Linked DNA regions of Oreochromis niloticus. The protein of the gene in region 2 interacts with the protein of the main gene of each other region in a pairwise test. Links are inferred from orthologs where the notes say so. Each region holds a gene or a part of one and is shown on either strand. Other genes may lie near its edges.

What was found. The genes of interacting proteins can lie anywhere in the genome.
Region 1: the proteins of zmynd19 (region 2) and enox1 interact in binary tests that used the Homo sapiens proteins (3 or more experiments, as listed by UniProt). The two-hybrid records come from large-scale screens. The link is inferred for Oreochromis niloticus from reciprocal best matches to the Homo sapiens genes ZMYND19 and ENOX1.

What each region holds. Positions count from the first base shown.
Region 1 is NC_031987.2:29,212,830-29,220,546, forward strand, and holds the start of enox1 (ecto-NOX disulfide-thiol exchanger 1), read left to right. Parts: upstream 1-4,656; 5' UTR 4,657-4,945; intron 4,946-7,717. UniProt on the Homo sapiens protein: Probably acts as a terminal oxidase of plasma electron transport from cytosolic NAD(P)H via hydroquinones to acceptors at the cell surface.
Region 2 is NC_031972.2:20,644,721-20,652,974, forward strand, and holds the start of zmynd19 (zinc finger MYND domain-containing protein 19), read left to right. Parts: upstream 1-5,238; 5' UTR 5,239-5,542; coding exon 5,543-5,593; intron 5,594-6,634; coding exon 6,635-6,694; intron 6,695-6,779; coding exon 6,780-6,886; intron 6,887-7,576; coding exon 7,577-7,717; intron 7,718-7,870; coding exon 7,871-8,051; intron 8,052-8,143; coding exon 8,144-8,254. UniProt on the Homo sapiens protein: May be involved as a regulatory molecule in GPR24/MCH-R1 signaling.

The DNA.
Region 1 (7,717 bases), on a different chromosome or scaffold from region 2:
TTCAGAGTATACACCAAATGGATCTCCGATTTTCTGGTAAATACTTGATTGGAATGGTATGGGTCATTTTCATGCTGTCATTCAAACAGTATACAGTACTGTGTATTAGAGTCACCCCTCATTTCTTTATATTTTTCTAAGAAAATGGGAAATAGGTGCAGCAGTTTGTTGAAACGTGTACAGGCCACATGGAACTACATGGTGGATGAAAATGCGACTCTCTTTATGATTGTAACAAGACCTCAAACACCACTGGCTGAAATGCAAACCCAAACCATGACACAGCCTCCACCATGTTTTACAGATAGCTGTAGACACTCACTGTTGTACCGCTTTCCTAAATTATAACTTGATTGTAATTTGTTGTTTATGAAAGAATTGCAGAGTGACAAGTTTAACTATATTTTAGTGTTTGAATGATACTAACATAATGTAAAAAAATAAAATAAAAAAGCTGAAAAGAAAGCAGCTAAATGGGATAAAGAAGGTTAAAGTTAAAGTTCAAATGGAATTAAAATCAGGGTAAATATTTTGTAACCTTAATTGATATGAATGGAGTAGCATAGGTAGTAGAACCACATTATTAATCATATTTTGTCATGATGGAAATAATGGTAATTGCCAGAGCATATGATCCCTGTACAGTCCATGCGGTCACACTCAAACTTCCTCTATTTAGCATTTGTAACCATCAAAAAACCAAGTAGTGACTAGTTTATTATTTACTCCAATGAAGTTGGAATAAACTAAGACCAGCTTTTTAAGGAACTGATTAAAGCACTGCATTTGTCAGCAATATTTTATATCATTTCAGCTGTCTCGAGCTCTAACTAAAGTCATTAATGCCTTCTTTTTTCCATATTTACAGCAGCTTTACAACATATTACAACCCATTTATTAGAGTCATTTACTGCCTAACTTAAACAAAAGCAAGCGTCAGTGTGATTACAGTGTACAGGATTTGCCCCTGAAATCTGTACAGTACACAGGACAGTTTGTCAGCTGCTTTGCTTTCAAAGCCTCATTCCTGCTAGACGCGAGGAATGAGGAACCGCTGGGCTGCGAATGTCAGCTCTGTCTCTTTCTATGTGGAAACCTGACTCACCTGATGAGCAGGAGGATGTTGGATTTTCCATTGGGTTGTTTGTGAGCCACAGTGTCAGCAACGTAATTAACATCGGGTGCAACAGAACAACAAAGTAAAGAGAGAGAAAAACAAAGAGAAAAAAATGTGCTGATGGTGCTGCTGGGAGAGGTCAGCGAAGGAACTCGAAGGCATGCAAGAAGGATTTTACTGCGTGATGGGGTAAAGTGTGCTTCTGTGGCTCGTAAACTCTTTTATGCTTTATGGTACAAAAGTAATAATTAAAAAAAAAACAGCCAGAAGTACCCAATACTGGGAATAGCTGGGAGGATTCATTTCAACATTTAAAAACATTCAATTTTTTTTCCTTTGTATATTTCTGCACTTTTTCTTTTTAATCTCATAATTTTTATTATTATCATGATTATTTATTAATATATGAGTTTTTTATGATATACTATATTCCGTCATATTATGTATTATTTATTTTATTGTCAGTAGCCAAATGCAAAAGTGTTGAAACTATATATGTATATATATATATATATATATATACATACATATATATATAAGAGTTTATTTAGTTCAATTCTAGTTTTCATGTTCATAGTTGCATGTAATACACTTTAAATTGATTGGTTGCATGTGCCCTAAGCCACCACCAGAGGACGCCAGATATCCAGCTCAGATACCACCTGCTTCCTCATCGTCAGCCTGTATGTTTGATAACACATTTCAAACTTCTCAGCAACTTACCAACCAGAAACAGGAAGCTTCACACATACAGATGTGTTTTACCTCACTGTGTGTTACCAGGTTTAAGCCCCATCACAACCAAGCAGGCCTCCTTGCATCGTGTATATGAAATGTGACGCTGTAGCCTTGTCCCCAGTGGATGTCTCTGCTGCAGCTTTCTATTTTCCCACTCTGGCTGCCCACTGGGGCTGAAGCTCCCTGTCAACTCTCCTGCCAAGGTTACAGCCTGCTCCCACTGCTGCTGCTGCTGCTGAGGAATTTATTATCAGCATATATTTATATTTCTCCACTGGGATTGGTGCCTATTTCCATCTATATCTGTGTGGGGTTTTTTGGCATTGACATAAAGTGTTACAAAAATAAAGAAGGCCATACGACTCATTCATCTGCCTAGTGTGTATATCTGACTGCAACTATATTTAATTTAATGATAATGTACTGTATTGATCCTGCTTGTCAGGAACAGCCATGTATTTTCTGCTTTTACTAAGTGGAAAGATTGTATGCGATGGCTTCATTCGTTATAGATTAGGTAATCATTTACTAATGCTTATTAAAACAGTCGTAGCGTTTGAAGAAATGTCATTTTTTGACCACTTATTGCAGCTGGCTGCTGCATGGGTTGCCATATTTAATCTAAAGATGCCAGTGTAACAGCAGTAAAAGGGTCCCTACTTCTGCGATTGGGCACTTACGTTTTCTGTCAAGTATTTCTGCATGTTTTTTGTGCCTCACCACAGTTAGTGGGAAATGATTAAATCAAGCTGTGAATAAAGTTCAGTGAATTTCTCAAAATAATGCACTATGCGATTACAATGGAGAGCGATTTGGTTCATGGACAAAGGTGGCCTGTTTTCAGATTTCATGACAAATTTAAGAAGATTAAAGGTGTGGAGTTTGTTACAAGTGTTGCATTTGCATTTGGCTGCAATTTATGGGAACCTTAAACGTGGTAGTCCAAACAGATGCTGGCCCAAAGGAAGGAGGACATCATTAAGCTTTGAAAAAAGAAAAACTAGTTACTGTGGTCGGTCAACAGTCTGGTGCAATATGCACTGATGAGCTCAGCAACAACAAAAGGCTTGAGACCACTGAGGGATCACTGATGACAGAACATCACCGCCAAGCCAAGAAAGAGTAGAAAAAAACAGCATCGGGCCATGTCCACGGGTGCCAAACCCGACAGGACTGTGAGTCGTTATTAGGAGGGTTACAAAGGTTACATTTTTGCAGGTTAATGATGTCCTCCATCTTTTTCTCTCTCTCTCAATGACTGTCTCATTAATACAAACACAAAGCACATCCATTAAAAAAGTCTTGTATAATCAATTGGCAGTGCGGCTGCCGCAACAAACTAGTGTCATTATTAGTGGATAGATCTGTGTATAGAAAGTAAGAAAAGAGTTTTACAAGTGGAAATTTCACTGCACTGGGAATGTAGATGCTCATAATATATAAATACATTAAAAGCTGTGTAAATGTGCATCAAAAGAAATGTATTCCTAACTTAATTCAGAGTTCCTGACATTTTAGTTGCTTTTAGTTGTTTAAACCTTGTTATTTTTGATTGACTTCAAGCGTTTTGTTGGATAAATGAACCCCATGCCCAATTTTACTGTACTCGTTTTCATTGTTTTATAAGAGTGTGTGCCTGGTGGAGGACAAAAGCAAAGCATGAATGTGACTCCTGAGTGAAGTGAGTTAGTAGGTTTAGGAACACTGCAGAGGGAGATTCTGCTCAATGGTAAAATATTGATCTGTATTAAACCTAAAGCTGGCTCCACTGAGGTTTTTCGAGGCAGAAGTAGTAAAGCACACCCTGTTACAGTGTGACGTGTCACTGAAGAAACAAATAATTGATCAGATTTCAGCTGTTGAAAATGACCTGTTGGCCTATAATCTGTGAAACATACGTCAAAAATATCTCTCATGAATTATAGGGTTAACCCATTAATCTCTGGCTCGCCTCCACAGTGTGTCTTTGTTCTGTCTTCCTCCCCTCACCCACAGCCGGTCACAGTATGGGTGCCCCTCCCTGAGCCTGGTTCTGCTGCAGAAATGTCACACTGTTAAAAGGGAGTTTTTTCTTCCCACTGTCACCAAGTGCATCCGATTGTTGGGGTTTTCTCTGTTTTATTGTGCAATATAAACCAGCACGAGGGAACAGCTGTTGTGATTTGGCGCTAAACTACTTAAGAATTGAACTGAATTTCTATCACAAGGCAGAAACTGCAGCTTTTGACAAAGTGACTTTTATATATCTTTTATTTGTCCAGCTAAAAAGGCTCACTTTTGTTTTAACTGATCTGGCCAAGAGGGCAGCAGGAACAAACTCTTCATAAATCCTGTTGTCTTTAGTCTATTTTCCAATATAAGCAAAGACATTAGCCATAAAAAACACACACACACACACACACATAGGAAATCACTTTTTGGAACAACACCTGGTTTAAAGTGTGACCAGCAGTAGAACCCAAACCCACTGTTTCTGCTTTAGAGCTCCGGATCCTGGTGAAGTAACAACAATGACACATAGAGGACTCAGGTATGGCTCTGGGAGCTTATCTTTTTACTCTGGGATAAAGAGGCTTTACTGCCTTTTTTAACTTAAACCTACAAAAAATCAGTTGGTTCTCAATAATGTGGCTCCAAATTTCTGCCTCAATGTCGGGTTAATTGCTGAAGATGAAATATCAAACCAATAAGCGCTTTCTTTATTTCTTATTATTTTATGTCATAACCTAGTTTGACGCCTACCCCCCCACTCATTTCTCCCCCCCTGCTGTCCCAGACTCCACCGGCCGCTGACAGACACCAGACCCTGCCGTCGTGCACGTCTCTCTCTCTCTCTCTCTCTCTCTCTCTGCCTCTCTCTATCTGTCGGTGACGCGCTCCAAGGTTTCTTCCTACCGGAGGCATCAGCAGCAGCAGCGGCGGCGGCGATGTATCGGTGTCTGCTGGCTGAGAGCGCCTGAGAAGAGACACACGGAGGATTGTTCCCAGCTTCTCCCCCCCACACACACACTCACAAGCACCGGGATTTATTGCGCTGACGCAATTTGCGGATTTGCGGAGCATCTATCGAATCTTCCGCTGTGTGACCCGGTAAGATACGGAGAGGTGCGCTCTCTGCTGTGTTTTTGACCGGTGTGTGTGTTTCATTTCCCCGGTAGATGACACGCTCCTGTCAGCCCGCTGAGCGGTTTACTGGAAGGCGCTGATGCTTTTTCTCCCCCCTTTCTCTCTCTCTCTCTCGTTACTTCATCCTTCCGAGCTCAGTGTGAAACAGCGGGGTGAAACCAGAACCGAAGCTCTGTTAGTGACTGTTTATTCATTTTGGTTAACGGGGACTCGCTATTGACAACTTAATGCGGTGCCGTGGCGCTTTTCATCCAGCGGGGAGAGCAGAGGTGTCTGTAACAACGGGGCTCTGGATCCGCCTATTGTTCAACAGATTCTCCAATTAAAAGTGTAATCCAGCCAGAGTGAGGCTAGAAGTCACTAAGAGTAAAAAAGAAATCAAAAGGCGAATAAATGAGGACTGAAAGTGACCAAATAGAGGGTCAGCACTTCTGCTTCTAGAAAATCCAGAGGAGGGGGGAAGGAGATTAATTGCAAATGCACATCTGTTCACTCTACTCTTTGCACCTGAGAGGCTTCGTGTGTGATGGGTTTTTTCTGTGTGTGTTTGGTGGCGTTTAAATGCTGGCCCTGCTGCTGTGTGAGCTTATGTGATGCTGGTCTTTGGTTTTGGGGGGTGTGCAGGGGAGATCAGCTGTGGTGGAGGAAAGGATGCCCTTGCTATTAAGTCACCTTGACGACCCTTCAGCAGCACACACAGAGCTGCCTTTGTCACTGTCAGGCTCACACCAGTCACCTGCTTTCACATGCTGTCATAGCCGTGGAGCCATTACCAAATTGAGGCACTGGTTTGTTTTATGGGTCTGGCTCATTTCCTGGATGTTTAGTTGTAAATTAAAAGAGTATGTCCAATAAACTGAGCAGTGTTTGGTATTAATTATAGTGGAAATTGAGAAAAGGAATGTCACAGCTATTAAGTCTGGCTCTATTGGAGTTTTTAAGAAATAAGAGAGTAATTAAGGGGAAATGTTGAGGAAAACTAACAAAGGAAGATGATTTTCTTCATAGCTCACTCTGCCAGTTTGTGTAAAATCTATAAGGGAAATCCTCATTAAAGATGTCAAATGAAATAATAATGCAGTAAACAAAGTGTAAATAGGTTTAAGTTGGACAAATTACTAGAGTAAAGCACAGTCTTTAGTTTACATTGTGCTGATGCTGAGAAGCTCAGGATAAACAAGATGTTCTTGGTAACACATCGCCCGGGTGACGTCCTCAGCACCATGGAGAGATGGCGTCAGGGAGTGTTAATAACAAACACTTCCTTAAATCTGATGGTTAGGTGACTCAGGATGAACCAATACCAGGCCTCAGAGAGAGGGTCTCTCTGAGCGTCATCCAAGTGTTCGAGCTCAGTTTGTTGCACAATTTATTATTTGTTATGAATATTTCTTTTATTTAAATCTTGCAACCTTAATGGTAAAGTGGTATAATTTTGGCAGGTGACCTGTGACTTGTGAAAATTTGCAGGTTGGGAATATCAGCTTTAAGAGATTGATCTGCTATTAATTATCTCCATTAATCAGTTTTTACCTCTTAGACCAATATGATGTGGTTTTGTCTTACCATGAAACCTCAGTCCCCAAAGATATGCTGTGAAGTTTGCTAGAAAAAATTGACATGCATTTTTTATGAGTAATTTTTTTAAGCTGCACTGATTACAGTTTCATTGGCAGATTCTGATTTTTACAGATTTTTGCTAATTTTCTCTCTAAGACCTTTGCTCATAACGAGGCTTCTAGCGTGTAGTTGGCTCTATCTAGCCACTTTTCCTTTGTTAGCTTCTTTAAAATGTCCATGTTCACTTGTGTGAGGGTGTTTAAGTGTCTGACTGAGGTTTGCTGTTATGAATGTTTAGGTGGTGGTCCCCCAGTGATTCACTTTGGTATATTTTTTGTTTTCACTCATAGTGAGGAGCTTCCACACTAACAAGATGTTAGCTTGTAGCTGTGAGTGTCTGTGACTGTTTGCCTGTGCCACTGTGCATGTATTGTGCATGCATGAAATGAACCACCTCATTCTTGAGGCTGCTTACATGAGCCTGACCAGCTGGTCACTGGTCAGGGCTGAGAACACTGGGAATTGGATGATTTGGGTGTCTGACCAGTTGATCACATCATCAATAGCATGCTACAACATTGACACTTAATCCCATTTCAAACCAGCATGATTATTCCTTTTGGGATCTTGTGTTTTAGTCCTATAAACTGATTGACTCCCTTCTTGTTCTGATTTTGGTCTTTACCAAGGATTGTCTCTTTAGCCAATTTATGTTCCATTGTGAAGATAATCATTTGGATATGTTAAATACTTGCATTCTGTCTGATGGTCTTTGCAGTTACACGTGTAGTTAAAAATTAATTGGTTGGTGCTCACGATTCGACCTAAAGACTATATTATGGAGCAGGATTTTGTGTTATCTGGGTAACTTCAGGGTTAACCCTGGGTTTTCTGTGGTTCACTTCTTATCAGGGTATATCACCATGGTACCTCATGCTGCTCCAGGGCAGGTCATGTTCTAGATTAGAAATCAGCAGGTATGACATGCCAACCCAATGACCAATGAGCTCAAAGATCCCTCTGACCTCTGTGGGTAGGTAGTAAAAGGGTCGGATGTTATTTAATAATATCTAAAGTCGTTTCCTGATTAGCATCAATAAGAAAAATGGATTCTTAAACATAACCTTATTCTTTAAGTTATTTTCCTGTTGGCTGTATTTTTTAAAATAATAATAT
Region 2 (8,254 bases):
GCTTGGTTTGAGGTTTCTGTAATACTGCTCCTGATCTCCAGAGGGCGCTGGCTCCCTTAACTAAACATAACGGGTGTTGGTGTGAGGTTCCAGACTGAGAGACCACAAAGATTATTTTAAATGACGACTCTACATGATAAGCTTCCTTAACAAGGATTCACTTTTAATGGTTTCATATTCCAGATTTTGCATGTTTCCTCTGCACATTCAGTCTGAAGAATAAAACTAATGGCATCTAAGACTGCATCTCTTAGCTGCGAGTTTAATTTGTTGTCTCTTTTCTGCAATTGCAAAATTGTTAGGATGCTGTAAATTGTCATGATCCCTGGGTCTTGACCCAAGGTGTTGTTTGTCTGTGTGTTTTGTGGTCATTTTATCTTTAAGGATCACATCCCTGTGTCTCTCTGTGTTCTGTCACCATGTTTGTCTTCTGTTCCTGTAAAGTTTGCATGGTTTAGGCTCTGTCTCAAAGGTAGCTATGTTTTCTGTTTTATTGTCATAACCTCTTGTCTCGTATGCATTGTGTTGAGTTTAACTTCCCTTGTCTTGTTATTCCTGGTTTGCTTCTGCTGTGTTTTCCGCCCGTTTCCTCCTCCCTCGTTATCTGCGTGTATATATTGTCTTAGTTTTCCTTGTCTCACCTTTGTAACTTTCTAGTTAGCAATTTTCTAGTATCTCCCCAGTTTAAGTTCTTTTATATTTTTATGTAGGGAAGTCCATGAATAAAGCTGTATTTTGAGTTCAATGCTGCTTCTGAGTCCTACAAAGTACAAAGTAACAAAATGTTTGAACTTGGAAAAGTAATTTTGAATTTAACAGCAGCAACAGATGTCAAAAATGTTTGGGACAGGGTTGTGTTTCTTTTAACAACAGGCCATAAAGGTAGAAACTAAGACGGCTGGCTGATGGGCTTTTGGTAGAGAAACGTTGCACCTCACACTATAGAAGTGCAGGCTTTTGAACTGAGTGCTGATAACATGCCGAATGGTCCCAGTCCTTTTTAGTCTAGAGGATGCGGCATCCAAAATTTCCAAAAACAATTTCAAATTCTGACCAAAGAACATATGGCTTCTTCTTTGCGTGATGGAGCTATCCTAACCTTTTGGATGCATGGTGTTGATAGGCAATGGTTTTTGGAAGTGTTCCTGAGCCAGTGCAGTAATTTCCATGACAGAATTATACCTGTGTTAGTGCAACCCTTATTTAATTTGTCAATTAAATAAGGGTTTGCGAGATTAGCAAATCATTGCAGACTGTTTTTATTTACAATTTACACAGCCTCCCAACTTTTTTGGAATTGGGTTAGTAGTTCCTGAAAACCCCCTTTTGTTTGATCAGCTCTTAATAAATGTAATTACACTATATCTACTTCCTCCTCTGATATCTTTTTTAATAGCATAAAAAATAAGAAAAAGCAACAAATCACAGAGGCTTGAATCTTTGGTATAACTTACAAATATACATCTTAGAGCAGATAACTCAGAAGGTGGTGAGGAAATGGTGTTTAGAAAACCTCCAAAGTGCTAGAATGTCTTAATATTTGTCACTGATTGAGATAAACAGGAACAACCACAGATTTCTTTTCAGCAATGTAGCCAGGCTGCTAAAAGTCAGAGCTCTCTTGAACCAAGTATTACTTTAATAGTAATGATTTAAAATGACTTAGGTTAATGACCTCCAGGATACAAAGTATTGAATAACCAGGCCCCACCATATGTTAAAGACCTCATAATTACCATATTATCCAAAGAGAATACAGACTACAGGCTTACTTATTGTTCCTTGGATTTTTAAATGAAGTTTGGGATGCAGATTCTTCAGCTTTCAGATCACAATCCTGTGGAACAAGCTCCCAGTCTGGATTCAGAAGACAGATACTCTCTAGGCATAACAGTTTCTGTTCTGATAAAGCTTCTTGTTAGGGTTCGACCAGGTGACCCTGGGGTTCCTCTGCTGCTGTAGTCTCAAGCTGCTTGGGGGACTCTGAGGATTCCTCTTCATTCCCATCTTTTCAGTCCCCATCTGAAAAGATGGGAGCATGTCCATATTTCGGGTTTTATCCTTTGTCTCTATACTCTTATTTTTCTCTTCTCATTCTCTTCAATCCCAACAGACAGCAGCAGATTGATGTTTTCCTGGAGCTTTCATCATGTTAAAAGGGAATTTTCCCTTCCTACTGTTGCCAAGTTCTTGGTGTTTGTGGATATCTGTAGGTGTTAACTGTACAAATGTCAAGACTAAAACATAAACAGAACCCACCACAGACCCTCTGATTTTGATACAACCTGTTGTACACTGCCATGTGCTGTCATGTGAAGAGGAAAGTTTTCTCTTAGCCCCATGGCTGGTTCTCGAGGAATTAAGGGGTTAAGTAGCACCTGGATGTTAAAGACGTGCATTTGATTTACTGATAATCAGATGTGACGACCTCTGGAAAAGCACATATATTGGTAGTTTGCTGGATAGTTTGGAGCATACATGTGTGTTCATGCAAATCCACCATCTGCACATTGATTTGCAAAGTCAAGCAAACTACAAGACCTGTGGAGCAATGTCCTTTGGACAGACCAGACCAGATTGGAGATGTCTGGAGAAAACCAAACACAGCATATCAGCACAAATGCCTAATACTCTCTGTCAAGCAGAGAGGTGGGAGATGTGGGGGATGTGGGCTTGTTTTGCAGCCACAGGAGCTGGACGTCTGTCAGTCATTGAGTTGATCATGAACTCCTCTGGAGAACAAATTATTCTAGAGTGAAATGTGAGGCCAGCTAAAGCTTGATTAAAACTGAGTCATTCAACATGACAATCATCGCAAACACAGCAGCAAAATTAGACTCCACTTCTGGTAATTTTATTTTATTTTTTCATGTAAATCCTTTTGATTATTCCTGCTAACAAATGAACAGACAAGCATTTGAACAAAGTCTTCTCGTTCATTTGAACAGAGCTGGTCAGCCTGTCTGTTGAGGCTGTCTGTCCAGGACAGCTAATGCTTAGCTACAACTGGATCATGCAACAGGACAATGAACCCAAGCAGAGCAGCAAATCTGCACCAGAGTGGCTGAAAAAGAAAAGAATGAAGGTGTTGCAATGGCTCAGTCAAAGTCCAGACAGAAATGCTGTGGTGTGACCTTAAGAGAGCTATGTGTAAACGAATAGTACGTCATAAAGAAGAGTGGGGTAAGACGGATAGACCCATACAGAAAACCAGTATTTCAAGTTATAGCTGCTAAACGTGGCTCTACAAGCTACTCAGTCACTAGGTCTACTTAGTTTTTCACAGGAGGGGATAAGGACCTGTGAATTTCTGTTTCTCATGACTGAATGCTGGCGTGTAGAATTACAGCTTACTGTAGCGTGATTCAACACACATAACAAAAGACTGAAATGAAGCAGTATTTGGAAGTAAAAACTGAGCTGAAATAACTGAAGCAACAAAATGAAAAAGATCACTCATACGGGAACAGTGCATTTATTTTACACCATATCACCATTGCTGACAAACACAGAATCCAGTATAAGGTGGTGAAAAGCCAAAATGTAATGGGATTGCGTAGCAACAAGTGGCACAGAAAGTTTGACATACATGAAGGAAGAAATGCCTTCCATTAAGCCCATTGTTCTTTCAGTGGGCTGGTTTCAGTCATTATGCAAATGTACTGTTTATAAGATTGGGGAAACCTGCAGTCAGTTGAGACTGACGAAGTCACTTGGATGAGTGACGAAACGTTTCTCCCACAAAACGCTACGTCCAGATGAACAGAATCAGCTTTTGGAGATTTACTTACCCGGGTGATTGAGCATGCATCAAGACATTATGCAGTCAGTAAGTGATTGTAAAAAGAAACCGATCTTTCAAAATCTTCAAAGAACTATATCAGGTTCAGTGTGTCTGTGTAGGTTCACAGTCGTCCAGGTCATGGTAGGTCTGGCTAGGTCAGCTATATTCCACACATGTAAAGAAAGCTCTTGAAACATGTGGTTATCTCAACTGGGCCTTGATTAAATCATCAAAGGGACAACTAGGGACAAACAGAAAGACAACTGGACAGCAATACTGTTTACCCTTGTGTAGCAGGTTTGTCAGAGAAACTTGGAAGAATTTTCTCCAAATTCCCAAACACAAGGTAAACAACATAGTGTATGCTGGGCAGTGCAGTGAGGCATGTTCATACCTCAGTATTAGAGAAACCAAACTGCAAATAAACCACAAACACATGGGCCCAAGACTCATCTCTAAGCCTGCACTTAAAGCACAATGGCAGGTCTTTTGAGGACGCAAAGTGTTCACATTTTGGACCGAGATGGCAGATTGCTTGAGAGAAGAGTAAAGGCACCCATCTACATCCACTGTAAACGACCATCGTTGAACAGAAAGGGTGGTTTACCAGAACATAGTCTTGAGGTCCCTTCCCAGGCTCTTAAACCCCCTTCCACATTCAGCCTTGACTCAGATGACTTCAGTGGGTCACATGGTTGGTTGAGGCAAGATCCCACAGTGATTTCACCCATAACCCCGGGTGATGGTGAATAGTTCACCCTTTTTTCACACCTTGATGATGTGATGACTCACATGATCAATAATTGGTTAATGACCACATCCATGGGACACAACCCTCACTAAGGTTTAAATAACCAGGACTCTCCACCTTTTGTTAGTAAAACAAATTAATCAATGAAAGATCAAACATCCTCACAAACCTAAAGAACAGCAATTACCTTTTTAAGCTCTCCATATCAGGTTTTTCAATTTGTTTTTTGCTCCTTAGATGCTAAAGTGATGGTAAACTATCATCTGAACACTGGCCAATTTTCTCATTTTATTATTTTTTGTTCTTGCATTGAGCTATAAACTGAATACACTGTGTACTTTATCCTTGATCCTGGACAGTAAGTGGCTCAGCTTTCTACTGACTTTTTTTTGTTCTTTTCTCTTTATTGTAATTATCTCTATTTTTCCAGTCTTAATGATGTTCTTTTATCCATGTCTACCAGTTTCTTTTATTCCACTGGGCTCAATGTTTACCTTATGAATCATTGTTAGCCTCCTACGCAATGCACATTCAATGCCTGTCGCCAAATTTAGCAGCAAACGACGCATCATGACGTCAAAGCCCTCTGCAATAATCCCACCCAGACATCAAACATTTCGCGCGAAAATGGCTGGAAGTGGTCACGAGAGTGTGATGACGTTGTAACTGAAAACGGGCGGTCTTTTGAAACTGCCGCTTCCTATTTGGCAGCGTAAGGTGACGTGTTGTATTAAAAAGCCTTAACGCCACGCTTGATTGGACGCTGCGGTTAGAGGTTCCTCCCGCCCCGCCCCTCCCAGCAGCAGCAGCAGCAGCTTGTTCGGCTTTCCTGCGCCAGCGGCGGTGTGTCACCGAGGCTGGGCTGCTGCCGGAGAGATCCGGACTCAGAGAATATACCCAACCATTTAACGCAACCTGGCAACCGGGGCTGAGAGGCGAGTTTTGAACCTGAATACAGTTTAGGCTGGACCCTGCGCCTCTTCTTGTCGCCACCGCCCGTCCTCCTGATGTCGGATTTCAAGCTCGGGATCGTACGGCTCGGCCGTGTGGCCGGGAAGGTGAGCTGGATCCCAGGGCTGCCATGTGCGGCCGGGGGAGGGCCCGCGGGGAAGAGAAAAGTCACCAGAAAAGACATAGTTAGCGATGCTCAATCAGCTCTAGCCAACCGAGTTGATTATTATGAAGCAGTCGCAAATGCGGGAGTAGTTCGGCTTTACCGATTTAAAGGCGTTTGAGCGGATTAGAAAAGCCGGCCGTGCCGAGCCAGACTGGTTTCTCAAACTCCGCCGCTAACGCTAGTTAGCATGTAGCGCGTTACGCTAGCCGCTGGCTAACATTTAACGATCAAACAGCGCCAGAAACGTAAACACGTGCTCAGTTTTTGTTACAGCCGCTGTCGGTGGAGTGGAAACCCCTCGGCGGTCGTGTCATACCCAAGACTCGGAGGTGCAGTTAGCAGAGCCACGCTAGCCTTGTTACTAGGATTACCCTCAAGTGTCGGCTAATGAGGAAGCCATTGCCATCAACTGATTCTTTTGTGCAGTGTGACAAAGCACCGGCAGGACGACACTGCCCAACATCTGTGCCTGTGTCGGCTTTGGCTTTAATCGTACTAATTAACGCTTGAAGCAGAAACTGTGGCGAGCGGTGGGTCAGAAAGCGCTCCCAGCTGCTGCCGCTGGAGTCACGGGACACACTGGGAATAAACCGTATTTGAGCCCTGACCAGCCGGCTGCCCACCTGCTGAATGACAGGGCTCCGGTCACTCAGCTGTAAACATGTCACTCGTGAAAACGCCACACACACATGCAATCATAGAAAGAAGAAAGTGTCACATTTATAGGTTTCATCTGTTTGATGTTGTGTTGCTGGAGAAGAGCTCAGATGTCTGTGAGACAGCTGGGACTGCTTCATAAAGGTGTTGCTGCTGTGCATGTGTAAAAAGTTTGGAAGGTTGAAACCTGTCCTAGAAGTAGTGCCCCTGTTTATGACTCTGCTAGTGCTAATTCACAAACAATGAAGCTCCCCTGAGAGTGGGGATGCTGTTGTTGCAGTTGTAGGTGTAAACATGAAAATAACCCTGAATTGTCTTATTTCAGACAAAGTACACGCTGATCGATGAGCAGGACATACCACTGGTGGAGAACTATGCCTTTGAGGTAAGTGTTTGATTTTTCACTACTGCTCTGATATCCGGATACAGTTGAGGAGAAAAAATATAGAGCGATGTTTTTCTGTTTCTAGGCACGCATGGAAGTAGATGCAGATGGCAATGGAGCTAAGATCTTTGCTTATGCTTTTGACGTCGGCAAAGGCCGCTGGGCAGGAAGGCCGCTGCACGAGCTGCTCTGGTAAGTCTGTTTAAACTGTGTCAAGGCGTTTTTGTTTGTTTTGTTGTTGTTGTTTTGTTTTTTTTCCTTTGACGCCATACCGTAGTCGTTTACACACTGCTTTAACAAGCGACAGGTCTCAGGTTTGATCTTTAGCTCATGGGCTTGAATCTGGCATTTAAAAATAGACAACCTGCCAAATCAAACATGTGGAGCTGCCTGCTGGAAGTAGCTTCTTCTGTGGTTGTTTTTCCTCTGCTGGAAAATCTGTGAGCATGCTTCTTGTGAAAGCACCCTCCATCCTAAGGCTCATCTTAGTTTAGTCAGTCTAAAATTTGTCAGATAGGATAAGTGGGTGCTGATGAGAATTGCTTCAGCTTAACAAAAGTAGGGGAAAGGCTAAAATTGCAAAAGGAATTCTTTCAGGGCGGCGTCACAGGTGTCACTTAAACCATCAACTGTTTAGCGAGCCAGCTTTCCACTTTCATCACTAGTCGTGAGAAATGGAGGTTGTATAGTAAACTAGTGCATGCTCAAGCTCTGTAGAGGACTTGGCTTTCAATGATGCTTCATATACGTCTTCAAAGCTCAAGTTCTGAGCTAGCATCAGCTCCTTACTGAGGAGTCCTTGGAATAAACACTCTTCTTATCCAAGATCAGATTTTTGCCCTGCTGGTTGCAGATTGGCTAACTTTTAATGTCTTTACCCAGGGAGAAGCACAGAGGAGGCATCGCCCCTAGTTTTCAAGTTATCCACATCAACTCTGTCACAGTGGACAACCGACTAGACAACCTGCGACTGGTTCCAGTAGGCTGGAGCCCTAAACCAGAGGAGATTTCCAGCAAGCAGAGGTAAAACATTGGTTATAGGTACATGTGAAAATGCTAGAAAGGACAAACCGGGCAGATGTTAAGGGGAAATGAGTCTTAAATCCTTTTGTGATTTATTCCAGGGTTATCCAAACAAGTAATGCATGCCTAACATTTCTCATGTTATCTGTACAGAGAGCAGTCCCTCTACTGGCTGGCCATCCAGCAGGTACCAGCCGACCCTGTGGAGGAGCAATATCTGGAGCTGAGTCGCACACGTTACTACAACGCAAATGGGGAGCTGGTGGAGGAAGAGGAGTGTTCCTGCACCTACTACGAGTGTCACTACCCTCCTTGTTCGCTCATTGAGAGGAGGGTATGTATTCCAACTCGTGTAGCAAAGCATTCCCATTCGAAAGCTTTGTGCTCTCAGAGCCAAAGATGATCTTCTTCCTTGTCTGTCCACAGCTGCGGGAGTTCAACATATGCGGCCGCTGCCAGGTGGCGCGCTACTGCGGGTCCCAGTGCCAGCAGAGGGACTGGCCGGCCCACAAGAAACAGTGTCGTGAGCGTAAGCGG